Linked DNA regions of Nothobranchius furzeri. The protein of the gene in region 1 purifies or fractionates together with the protein of each later gene. This does not show direct contact. Links are inferred from orthologs where the notes say so. Each region holds a gene or a part of one and is shown in the gene's direction. Other genes may lie near its edges.

Region 1 (6,024 bases):
TGACGGTATGAACGCCAGAAATAGCCTTCACTACTGTGGACTTCCCATGGGCCACATGACCGATGGTGCCTGAGAGTCAGAACAGAGTCAGAACCGAGTCAGAACCGCTTTAAACCCGCAGAGAAACAAAAACAACAGAAGGCACACCGGCCTCGTACCGATGTTGATGGTGGCCTGTCTGCTGATGATCTCTGGAGAGAGAGGCGTCAGGGTGGACACGTCCTGCCGAAAGAAAACACCCAGATCTGACAAAACGTACAAAATAACACAGATTAACTGAGCCAAGCGGCGTCTCTGGGGTTAATCCTGCAGATTATCAGGAACAAAGACGAGCCTAACCCTAACCCATCACAGCAGCCTGGGACAAGGTCCGTAATCAGAGAAAATGAGCTCCAGGTCTGACCAGGACCACGCGTTAGACCATCAGAAAGGACGAGCAGCTTCCTGCTTCCTCAGCAGAATAAAACCTCCAAAGAAAAAACTAATAATTAATTAAGGATGTTAGAGATTATTCCTGAAAGACTGATGGATGAAACTAGAGTTTGGAACAAGATGCAGCAGAAATAACAGGAATGTGTTATCATGAGTTTATTGCAGTCACATCTGGAAATGCATGGTGGATTCCTGTAACATCTAAAGGTTTAAACAGTTTTAGATTAATAACGTTTTTATTTGTCTTCTTCTGGACCGGAACAGGAAGTCGTTACCTAACTTCTACCTTATAGATATGATCTTTAATCCCATCCCCACCATAATAACCCTGTTATTAAAGGTTTATGACACCGCCTTCATCACTGAAGTGTCACAATAACATCACCCAGAAATACGTCACCAAAATTACTTCCTGACAGTTAATATTGAAGCTAATTTTTGAGCTTAACAGTCGCAAACACAAAATAGCGACAATTTAGAAACACGTGAACGCCTAAATCGCTTTAAAGAACCTGGAGGCTCCGCTCGTGCTTTAGGAACTCTCCACCCCGCCGGGCCTGCCGTCATGTGCCGGGTGAAGGCAGCGCAGCCCCGGCCACCGCTCACCGCACAATTTCCCCCCGTTAACGGATTGCTTTCGGTTAAACGACGGGCTGCCAGCCTGAAACGTGAACTCAGGGGTGTGTAGAAACCGCTGAAACGAGACTCACCAGAGAGCTGAGGTCTTGTTTGGCCAGATGAGGCTGACCCAGCGTTGTTCCAGACTCATCACCCGCCATCTTCGCTGGAAAGGGAATGAAAGAGGCAGCCCCGCCGAATGCCTGATCAATTTACCAAACCGTTTCTTTGAAAAAACAAAAAACGTTTTACTCTGATCAAAATCAAACAAAAACTGTAACTTTAACAAAAAACGTGTAAATTATGTCCACTTTCATTTATATACATATATATTTAAAAATATCTCGTATGATTTCTCTGACTGAAAGAAAAACGGGTCCTTTCTCAAATGCTGATGCAATTTATCACGTTCGTAAAAGAACAATTTATTATATCATTACTCGTTATAACCAATAAATAAATAGTTTAGATTTTTTTGCTACTGAACACAAAACTTGGTTTAATTAACGTCAATTTAAAAATAAGCCTAGATAAATAATTAGTGCCAGGCCGTCGTTAAAATATGACATCATCAAATACTGTTTGTAGTCTTCTTAACAAGTTTGTAGTTTTTGAAAACCTATGTAAAAATATTTATGTGGACATCTAAATCTAAATGTGACATTTTTAATTAGCTGTCTACACCTGCAGTCTGAATGGGCATATATTGATTCTAAATAATTTTATTTACATTTGTGTATAAACTTAACTCCAGGTCTCTGATGAACCTACATGTGGTGAAACATACATATCATATATTAATATATGATATCTATGTGGTGAAATACCTCTTGTATCAATTAGCTTATTTTAAATGTGTAATAAAATGCGATCCGTTATATTGATATATTTATATCATCTAAAAAGTAAGACGTGCACAACAAAACAAACAACTCAGTACAGTTGTATTGTTTGCTGTTGTTTTTTAGACTGCAGTGATCCATCTTGTCTCATGTACACTCTTTGACTGTCCGCTCTCCCGCCGCCCTTCAGTTCCGTCATGAAGGGAAATTACGTCGGTGCAGAAGATGGTGTCTGTAAATCCTGTGGACCGCTGCGGCTCGGCACCCGTCTAATTTGGAGCCGTGTGGGGGGTATCTCCGTCTGGCTGATGGATTACAGAGAAAGTATGGCCATGCGGCGCTGCCGTCCGCTCTCTTGACCGCGGAATCGAACCCGTAACTTCATGTCTGACGGAGCCAGAGCTGCCTGGACGAAGAGGGGTTGTGGGGATTCGCACCGCCGAGGTGAGACGGTTGGATTTAGCCGCTAAGCTAAAGCTGTTCCCCGGTCACCGCAGCCTGCTTGCAGCTAATTTAACCACAGAGACGTAATTAACACGTTTAACGTCAACGCTTCCACCCCAGAGGCAGAATAAAGCCTCCGGCTTTAGCCGGATGTGAGAGCAGAGTCAGAGCCGCTGAGTGGAGCCTTTGTTTGGAGCTCGAGTTAAAAACCTCCTCCCCTGTGGTGGAGGTACACCAAAGAGGATAAACACACCTGCTCAGGTGTGTTAGCCTTCAGCTCCAGTCTCAGACACACATCCGAGCCTGCTGCTGGTCTGGGGACAGCCGTGATGAATCTGGCTCTCAGGCTCTAACTACAGCAGTTCCTGACACGTTTAACTCACCTGTCCGTCTCCTCGCACCTCAGACAGGCTTTCACCTGGAGACCAGTATTATTCCGCACATTATTTATCATCAGAGGAATAAATTGAAGTTAACCCAAAACTATAAATCATGGAGAAGTTTTCTGCTCAGACGCTTTGGAGGAACTAAGAGCAGCAGCGTGTTTACATAAATATTGTTATTATCATATTTTCAGATGGTTCAGATGCGCAGACCTGGAAACACGTGACCACAACAGTCCACCTGACACAAAAAATCTAATTTTCTTCCTTTCTTAAATTGGGTCCTTGAACGCACCACTGCTACATGCTAATTAATCTGAGCTCACTTTGTGAACGGTCCATGGTCCTCCCTTCTTGAATTATCTATCAGGTTTTCAGTTTTTAACAATATTTCATTTTTGCAGATTTTTGTTTCACACAAATCTTAATAAATCAGTCTTATCAGGTCAGAGCTGCGCAGAAAAACCCTAAACTGGTATCGGTTCTGCAAGCTGCATCAGTGCTGCTCTTATAGAGAACAGTCAGGCATTTAAAACTCATTATTGTGACTTGGTTATGAGTTTAAAGTCAGAAGAACTGAAACATTTATAATCACGACTGAAACGAGTTCCCAGACCCAACAAACGTTAAAAATCACTTTAATTTCTCAAACTGCTTTTAAATGTTCATGCTTAATGAGATCCTGTTGTTTGACAGTTTTAAATACCTGCAGGGTTTGTTGTTGTTTCTGTGTGGATCAGCTGATCTGACCCTGATGCTGCTGTTCTGTGTGTTCTGTTAGAACCGGGGAAACATAAACACAGGAAATGCGAGCGGCCCCTTAGCGCTCAGACGTCACAGCCTGTGATCGCTGGCCCGGGCTCCAAAAGGTACGACGCTGCTCTCCGTCTCAATTCCACACAAATAATCTCCTTCCTGGTGGCTTTAGTCTGGGGTTTCAGCCTTTTTTATTCAACCTTAAAGAGCAAGTCACCCCCAAATCTACTGTTTTTTGCCGATAAACTAAATAAACGAGTGTCTAATCGTGCTGCAGACACGTGTCGTCAATAGTTTGGCACTTCAGTGCATCTTAGTTAAAATTTAAATATTCTGCCTAAAACTGGCAGTGTTGTGCCGTTGTCAGGTAAAAACTCTGCCCTGTATTTGAATTTAAATCTGCCACTGCTATTGGCTAAGAGGTATGCTATGATGTAAACTAGTACATTATGATGTCACAATGCTGTCGTGAGTCTGTGTGTGTGTGTTTGTTAGCGGCTCCGCCCTCTCGGTCTGCCAGGCAACAGCATGTGTTGCATTTTTCAAACAGGAAGTGGGAGTGGAGTTAGGCTCTGGTAGGGGGTGACTTGCTCTTTAAGAACTGTTTTTGTGTTTTCTAAACATAAAAGTAAATCTGGATGCTTTACAGCAAAATCCTGGCTTAATCTGCGGGGTTCACAAATGACCGACCTACAATAAAACCCCCTCAGACCCAAATATTTACTGATTTAGACACAAAAACATTAATATAGTAATTTTCATAATTAACGTTTTTAATAAATATTTTACAGAAAACGTTGAAATTTGAGGAAAAGTTGAAGCTCCTTAATCAGATTTATTTATTTATTATTTTTTACAGTTTGTAGGTTTCATGACCCGCAGCGCAGGCCCGACCCAAACAAGGAGAACTGTTGTGTTAAACGATCAATGTTTATTGTGTTTTTAATTATTAACGGAGATAAATGTGCAGCAAAGACGGAACAAACTTACTGGCATTCACCTGCTTCTTCATCAACATCCCAGAGTTCAAACTTCCTGGTTCTGTTGGTACCGCTGGTTCTGATCTGGATCATGTTCAGTTAAAACTTCAGACCGTCACCATCCGTGATTTTGTTTTTATTCTAACAGAAGCTGTATTAGCAGTCAATGGTGAGTCGGGCCACCTTTAGCAGAACTCGTGTTTCCTCATCGACATAAATACGGTTCCCACCAACCCTTTAAACTTTATTGGAACTGGTTCTTAAACAAAAACATTTTCAGAATTTTATTCTAAGGAGACGTAATTACTTTTATTCTCTGAGCTTAAAGAGCAAGTCACCCCCTACCAGATTCTTACTCCACTCCCACTTCCTGTTTGAAAAATGCAACAAAGGCTGTAGCATAGCATAGCGAGAGGGCGGAGCCGCTAACAAATACACACACAACATTGTGACATCATAATGTACCATCTAACATCATAGAGTACCTCTTAGCCAATAGCGATGGCAGATTTAAATTCAATGCAGTGCAGAGTTTTTACCTGATGACGGTGCAACGCTGACCGTTTTAGGCAGAATATTTAAACTTGAGCTAAGATGCACTAAAGTGTCGACTGCACATGTCTACAGCACGACCAGACACTCGTTTATTTAGTTTATGAGCAAAAAAAGTTGATTTGGAGTGACTTGCTCTTTAAAGGGACGGTTCCGATTTTTCTGTTGAAAAAAACAAACAAACAACCAATATCTCACGTCTGGGAGCAGCATCAGTTTGGAGAAACAGATTATTTGTGGCTGGATTGATGAGCTAACGGCTAGTTAGGCAAGGCAGAGAACCAGGTGTTTCTGCTGCATTTAAACAAGTTTAATCTAAACAGCTTTACAGCGTTGGCCACTGTTAGCATCTTTGCTTTAAGAGCAGCTAGCTGTAGCACTTCCTGTGTGTGTGTGTGTGTGTGTGTGGGGGGGGGGGTAGTTGCCGTATTACTGATATGTTTGAGCCTTAAGACAACAGCGCTGAGCACCTGCTGGGACTAGCAGTTAGCTTATCAATCTAGTCAAAAAGAATCTGTATTTCTCCAACCTGAAGCTGTTCAGCCTGTTTTCCTCTTAGTTAATTTTTTATTTTCTGTAGATTTAATCCCTGAAAAAAAAACTTTGTGTTTTAATTTGGTGATAAAATCAGAATCTGGAGGAATTGCTTCCCGATGACGTCGTGTGCTATCCTATAATCGATCCCTCGTTGTACCTCTGGTTTCCATGGTGACATCAGGACGCCGCTGCTTCTTTCTGACCTGTTGTATGAAGTCGCGGCCGAGCACCTGCTCACCTGTGGCACACGTGTGTGCAGGTGCTCGGCCGTGTAGTCTGGTGAGGGTGGAGGTGTTTAACGTTTGTTGGCTCTGTCGTTCAGGTGATTGACGCTCAGAAAAGGGACTTTGTTAGCATCAGCTGGACACAAGGGGCACTGTCCTCTGATTGGCTCGGACAACCCCCTCTGACATGCCCGTGGCCAATCAGAGGTGAGTGGGTGTTTGTGTGTGTGTCTGGTTCAGCTTAGATGTCCCTCTA
Region 2 (5,765 bases), on another chromosome or scaffold:
GTTAGATTTTATTTTTATTTTTTACTGTACGCTGTTAAGAAAAAAACTGAAAACACTGAATACATTAGGGATCATTAGTGATATAGATATCGCAATATATCGTGATATTTTTTCCCGCAATATTATATCGATATTCAAAAGCTGTGTATCGATTTTTTGGAAGAATTTACATGGAAGCATTTGTGTATTTTTTTTTCTTTTGGTGAAATTCAAACACTGACCGCTAGATGGCAGCAGTGTGCAATGGGTTTTGTTTCCACCATTGAAATGTAAATCCCTCTGTTATGGGTCAGATACCTCATGTTAAAAATGTTACATATCAGTTTGGACTGTTTATTGTATATTCCTACAATTCAGTCTAAAAAATTGCTAATAATGTCTGACTGAATGTATCGCAATATGCATTGTATCGTCACCCCTGTATTGTGATATGTATTGAATCGCCGAAATTTCAGCAATACACATCCCTAGAAGACATGGTGTGTGGACTTCTGTAAAAACAGTCATGACGTGGAGTTTGAAGTGGAGACTAAATAATAACATAAATCAGGCAAAGATGATTGATGCAGCTTGATGTGTTTAGAATAAAGTTTACCTTGCAGCATACAGCTGTTACATGGAGGCTTCTGCTTCCTATTGGGCCGCTCAACAAGCTGGACCAAGCAAAGGAACTCTGGAGGGGAAGCAGGTATACAGACCATTTAACGTTTGTAATATGTGCAGAAAAAAAGAGAGAGCATTTTAGAGGCTTGTTAAAAATTTTAAACATGTAGGATCTCTGTTCAAAAACTGAAAATACTCAGACGTCCAGTTCCTTAATCATGAAGGATTTTGCCCACAAATTCCCAGTTATCTTTATTCATTTATTTATTTTTTATTGAAGACTTCAGTCAATCACATATGTAATTTCAATATTGGTTGCATAAAAACAATAACTATGTGACTATGACTAAAATGATTTATGTCACATCACATATCCTATTTTCCAGCCACTATTTCTGTGATGTAAAAATGAGGACGAAATCTATGAATAAATGGAAAAAGTTGTGGAATTTGTTAGTATCTTAAATATCACTGTAAGAACAAAACCGTAATCCTGAGCAATAATTTGAAGATCGAGGATTTATATCTAGTTGTTCCTTTCCACATTTTATGTATATTTTCAAACTCCTTCAGTTAATTTTCTGAAACAAAGCTAGGTGTTCACTAGTTATACCGGTTACTGAAAATACACTAATCTGGTAAACAGAAAATACAGTTTACCAGTAAATTCATGCACAACAGTTAACATTGTCCAGATTAGAGCATTACTATTGTTACGCTGAGTCTAAAGAGACACACAATTCAATATAACAATAATGAACATTCCATTTTTAGATAATTTCCTTACCAGCAGCCTCACGTTCGCTGTGCTAGTCAAGGACGCCGCCATGTTTAACTCGGAGAGGGAAGGTGTTACTATCATTTGTTTATTTTACAGACCAACTATAATTTTTATAGCTATCAAAAAATAAAAATGTAAATATCGTAATGATTTCAGCTTGCTATGTAAATAAAAAAAAGATCTTTCCCCTTAAACGCCGAAAGTTACCTATGTCCGGAATGATTACTGTATACTTGTGTTCTTACCGTACAACAACTGAGCTGTACCAACCGGATATTGTTAATATAAAATATTTTTTAAATATCGTCACAGTCACATTTAGTTGTAAAACACAGAAATGTAAAGCTTTATTTATTTTATTTTAAGCCCTAATGATGCTTAGACATTTAATCATTGTATACGTAACTTGGTTTACAAGAACAGTTTTTTTGTATTTTATAATTAGGAAATATGTTTTAATAATTGTTCAATAACTATTTAAATGTAAATTAGTTTGACTTCCAAACATTTAAAACCCATCTAGGTTTAAAAATATAAATTATCATTGTTATTTATTTTATGTGGGAACTTATTTTGAAAGCACTATACCGGAAAACGGTGAATTGTTCTGGAAAAGGAAACAGTCGCTAAGAAATTTCAGCTGGCACCATTTGTTGTTGTTGTTTTTATTCTGTCTTAAAGTCCCACATTTCAGTTCTGGTCGCTCGCTGTTGATCAGAAGACTTTATAGTTTTTTTTTTTTTTGTAAAGTCTAAAAAAGGTTTAAAGCTACCATGGCGTCACCGCTGCAGATGACTGAGATGTATGACAACGCTCTGCTTGGGATCCTTCAGCACGTTGGGAACGTTCAGGACTTTCTCCAGGTTTATTTCGGATTTTTGTATCGCAAAACAGACTTTTATCGCCTGTTGTCTGGTCCCAGCGACAGGATGGGCTTCCCCCCAGGTGTTGCGGAGAAGATGGTGCTGAAGGTGAGCTATAGTCTGTCAGTATACCATGTTATATTGTTACATGGCAAAAATAATTATTCAGCATTCGTTTAGCATTCTAAAATGTGTTTTTTAATTAAAAGTTAACCAGAATTGTTTTCTAATTAGACAATTAATGTCTAATCTTGTGTTTAACAAAGTTTTGACTCAAACGCATTTAGGTCAAAGGTTATCAGAGAGGTTTTTGCATGGATCACTTATTTGTTACAACATACTATTTTATATTAGCAGTAACATCTACATCTAGCTTTAAATCACATGCGAATAAAACATGTCTGTAAAATCCATCTGAGAACTGGAGGGGAATAAGTGTTCATAATGGCAGACTGGGAGGATAGAGGACAGCAGCACATGACGGTCTGGTTGATGGAGAAGTATCTAAGGACATGATCTGTAAACCCTCACTTTAAAGCTGTGTAAAGCACATGCAGTTATTTTTAGTTTGTCCCTTCCAGGACACCATACCTAAAAAAACGGATAATTTTCAGTTTTCTATATGCTAAGGCTGCATTCACAGTGTTAACTGTGTCATCTGAAACTGTAGTTTTATATATTTTATCAGACTTTTGTTAATAGCTCTTTTAAAATATTCCATACGAAAAGTTAAAAGATGCATCCATCTTTCTATTTTCTACCTTTTATCCAAATAACCATGTATCACGTTCTGGGTCTGTCCAGAATTCTCCTCTCTGTGGGACTTATCTGGAAAACCTCCCAGGAGCCAGTCAGGTACCCACATCACTTTGGCTGACTCGTTTAGGTATGAAGAAGCCCCAGGTCTTTGACTTCCCCCTGGGTGATGGAGATCATTTCCTTATCTCTTAAGGCTGAGCAAATATTGTGACCATAGCTGAGAGTTGGAATATAAACAGACCATTAAATTGAAATATTTTTCTTTTGGCTCAGCAGCTTATTCTTTACCACGACATGCTGACACAGCAGCCATGTCTCAACAGAAAAAGCCCTTAACCGTTGGACCACCTCGTCCTCTGTCCCACCGCCTCTTACAAGCAAGACTCCAGGATGCCTGAGCCTGAGGAAGAGACTCCCTCCCAACCTGGAGGACCTGACTCAATCTGGCTGCTTCACACTCCGCTTTAAACCATCCCAGTGCATGTTTAAGGTCTTTGCATGAAGCCAACACCTACACTACATCCTCTGCAGAAAGCAGAGATGAAATCTTGACGTTCCTAAACTGGACATCCTCTTGTCCATGATGACATTCTGAGGTTCTGTTCATGAACATCCCCAACAGGACTAGCGACGACCAACTCTGAGGCCCCCCAACCAGCATCATGAATGTGCTTTTGACTTGTCGCTGTAGACGGGGACACGGCTCTTGCTTTGGTTGACCTGAAAGCTTGTTCAAGTGACCTCAGCAACCCGTGTGCTACCGCAGCACAGCCCGAGTCTGTATCTCAGGGGTGTCAAATACGCGGCCCGCGGGCTGGATCCGGCCCGCAAGCAGGTTAAATCCGGCCCGCGAGATGGTTGTGTAAACTTTATGTTCATACCTTACAACGGTAGAGTGAACTTGTGAGCAAGTTTTCTCTGTAATGAGTATAAATAAAACAAAGCTGCGCTCAAGGCTCACACAAGAACTTGAATCACATCCTGAAGTTGGCTGCCACTCAGGATGTGACTTCTGATACTGATGTGCTGGTGAAAGCTAAAAGATGTAAAGTAAAATGAGTCAAATATATTTGAAGTGCTGCATGAAACTGATCTAGCCATAGGGCTGGGCGATATGACGATTGTAGACCGTTTTACTATCTACACATCTGACGGTCTGTCATTTTTGAGAGACCGTTTTATCACGATTCACAGCTCTGCTGTTGAATTTCTGCCTCTGAATGAAAAGGGAACTTACCTCAGGCGAATGACACGCCTTTGTTTGACCCTTAACCAATCAGAGTGAGTCATAGTAATATATTAGTGCCCCGCTTGTTTTCATTTGTGTGCGAACAAACATGGCTTCGCCGCGGCTGAGCGACAACGAGGTTTTCGTTCCGAAGAGGAACGCAGGGTTTCCTTAGCGCGCGGCGCTAACAACTTAGTGACGTGACATGTCTCGGAGAAAGCGTAAAAACACGTTGGACGCTTCTTCTGAAGCAGGAAAATAACACCGCTTCTTAAGCAGAGCACGACGTCACCTCGGCTGGTTCACCCTCTGCCGAGCCGGTGTCGGTACCGGACTGAGCTCGGTCACTGGGTCGTTGGAGCTGCCCCGTGACTGGCTGATGGAAAACCAGCGGGTTTCATCAGACTCGTAGTTTCTTGTTTTTGCTGGGGACCCCCTGTATTTTACCGCTCCCTCCTGCAGTCTTCCCCTATTAACATTTAAAATGATTCTGTAAACTCCGTGTATCAATAGAAACGATCTCTGCCTCTGCCAGCTGCAGTAAATGTAGTCTCCAAATAATAAGAGGTGCATTCATCTGTGTATCTCCTTTGATCCACATTAGTGATATTTTCAGCACCAGAATAGTGAAGCAAAGAAAGATTCCTGAGTTTGTTAGTAATTTTATATATTAGGTGCATCTGACCTGTTCTATTTTTCTCTGAAATGAGATCAAATCAGTGCTTCTATGGGTTGTCTCCAATCTGCACTGGAAAATTTTACTTTATTTAGAGACTTGTTGCAGAAAATATTCAGAATGTGCAGTTTTTTGCTACCACAAGCGATCTCTGGTCCAGCCGCACATCAGAGCCGTATTTGAGCTTAACTATCCACTACATGAGCAACTGGGAGCTACATAGTATTTTGAACAAGTTAATGTTTGCACAATACGTATGCAATTGACATGTTTGCACTTTAAATATGTTTACGATTTTAATTTATGTTAAGTTACTTGAAAAACGAGAAAAACTGATTTTTGTAATTGTTTCTCTCAGGGCTTTTATCATCTCTGGTGTGAGTTTAAAATATAAGCGTGTTAGCACTGTGCTGATTATCCCTAATATGAATAAATGTTTATTTATTCAATGTTTCTCTTCTTTAATACGCAATTGAAGTTATGCTATCCATGTTTAAAAAATCGTGATAAAATCGAAATCGTGATAAAATATTGGAAAAATCGTGATATTCTATTTTTGCCATATCGCCCAGCCCTATCTAGCCATGTGATTTGTAAGTTCTTTGAATCACTAAGGAATGTTTTCTTTAATTGATTTTTTTATTATTATTTTTTTTTTCAAATTTTCAAGTACACTTCAGATGTTGTATTTACTATTTTGGATACACTGTCCTCAGACTCCAGCCTTGTTTTATATTGATTGTATTAAAACAAAGAAAACAATCTGAAGTTGTTTTTAACTTACCGGTCTGGCCCACTTGGGACTAGATTTCCCTCAGAGTGGCCCATGAGCTAAAATGAGTTTGACACCCCTGC

Evidence for each region. The genes of interacting proteins can lie anywhere in the genome.
Region 2: the proteins of klhl15 (region 1) and nudcd3 purify together in Homo sapiens (co-immunoprecipitation; 3 studies listed by BioGRID and IntAct, with this or other methods). This does not show direct contact. The link is inferred for Nothobranchius furzeri from reciprocal best matches to the Homo sapiens genes KLHL15 and NUDCD3.

The regions. Positions count from the first base shown.
Region 1 is NC_091747.1:63,364,661-63,370,684, reverse strand, and holds the start of klhl15 (kelch-like protein 15), read left to right. Parts: upstream 1-2,047; 5' UTR 2,048-2,275; coding exon 2,276-2,336; intron 2,337-3,500; coding exon 3,501-3,588; intron 3,589-5,866; exon of another isoform or gene 5,867-5,955; coding exon of another isoform or gene 5,956-5,975; intron 5,976-6,024. Other genes in the region: eif2s3 (eukaryotic translation initiation factor 2 subunit 3), read right to left, coding at 1-69, 159-222, 1,143-1,211. UniProt on the Homo sapiens protein: Substrate-specific adapter for CUL3 E3 ubiquitin-protein ligase complex.
Region 2 is NC_091746.1:39,650,083-39,655,847, forward strand, and holds the start of nudcd3 (nudC domain-containing protein 3), read left to right. Parts: upstream 1-1,994; 5' UTR 1,995-2,157; coding exon 2,158-2,355; intron 2,356-5,765. Other genes in the region: mrps24 (small ribosomal subunit protein uS3m), read right to left, coding at 596-673, 1,391-1,465.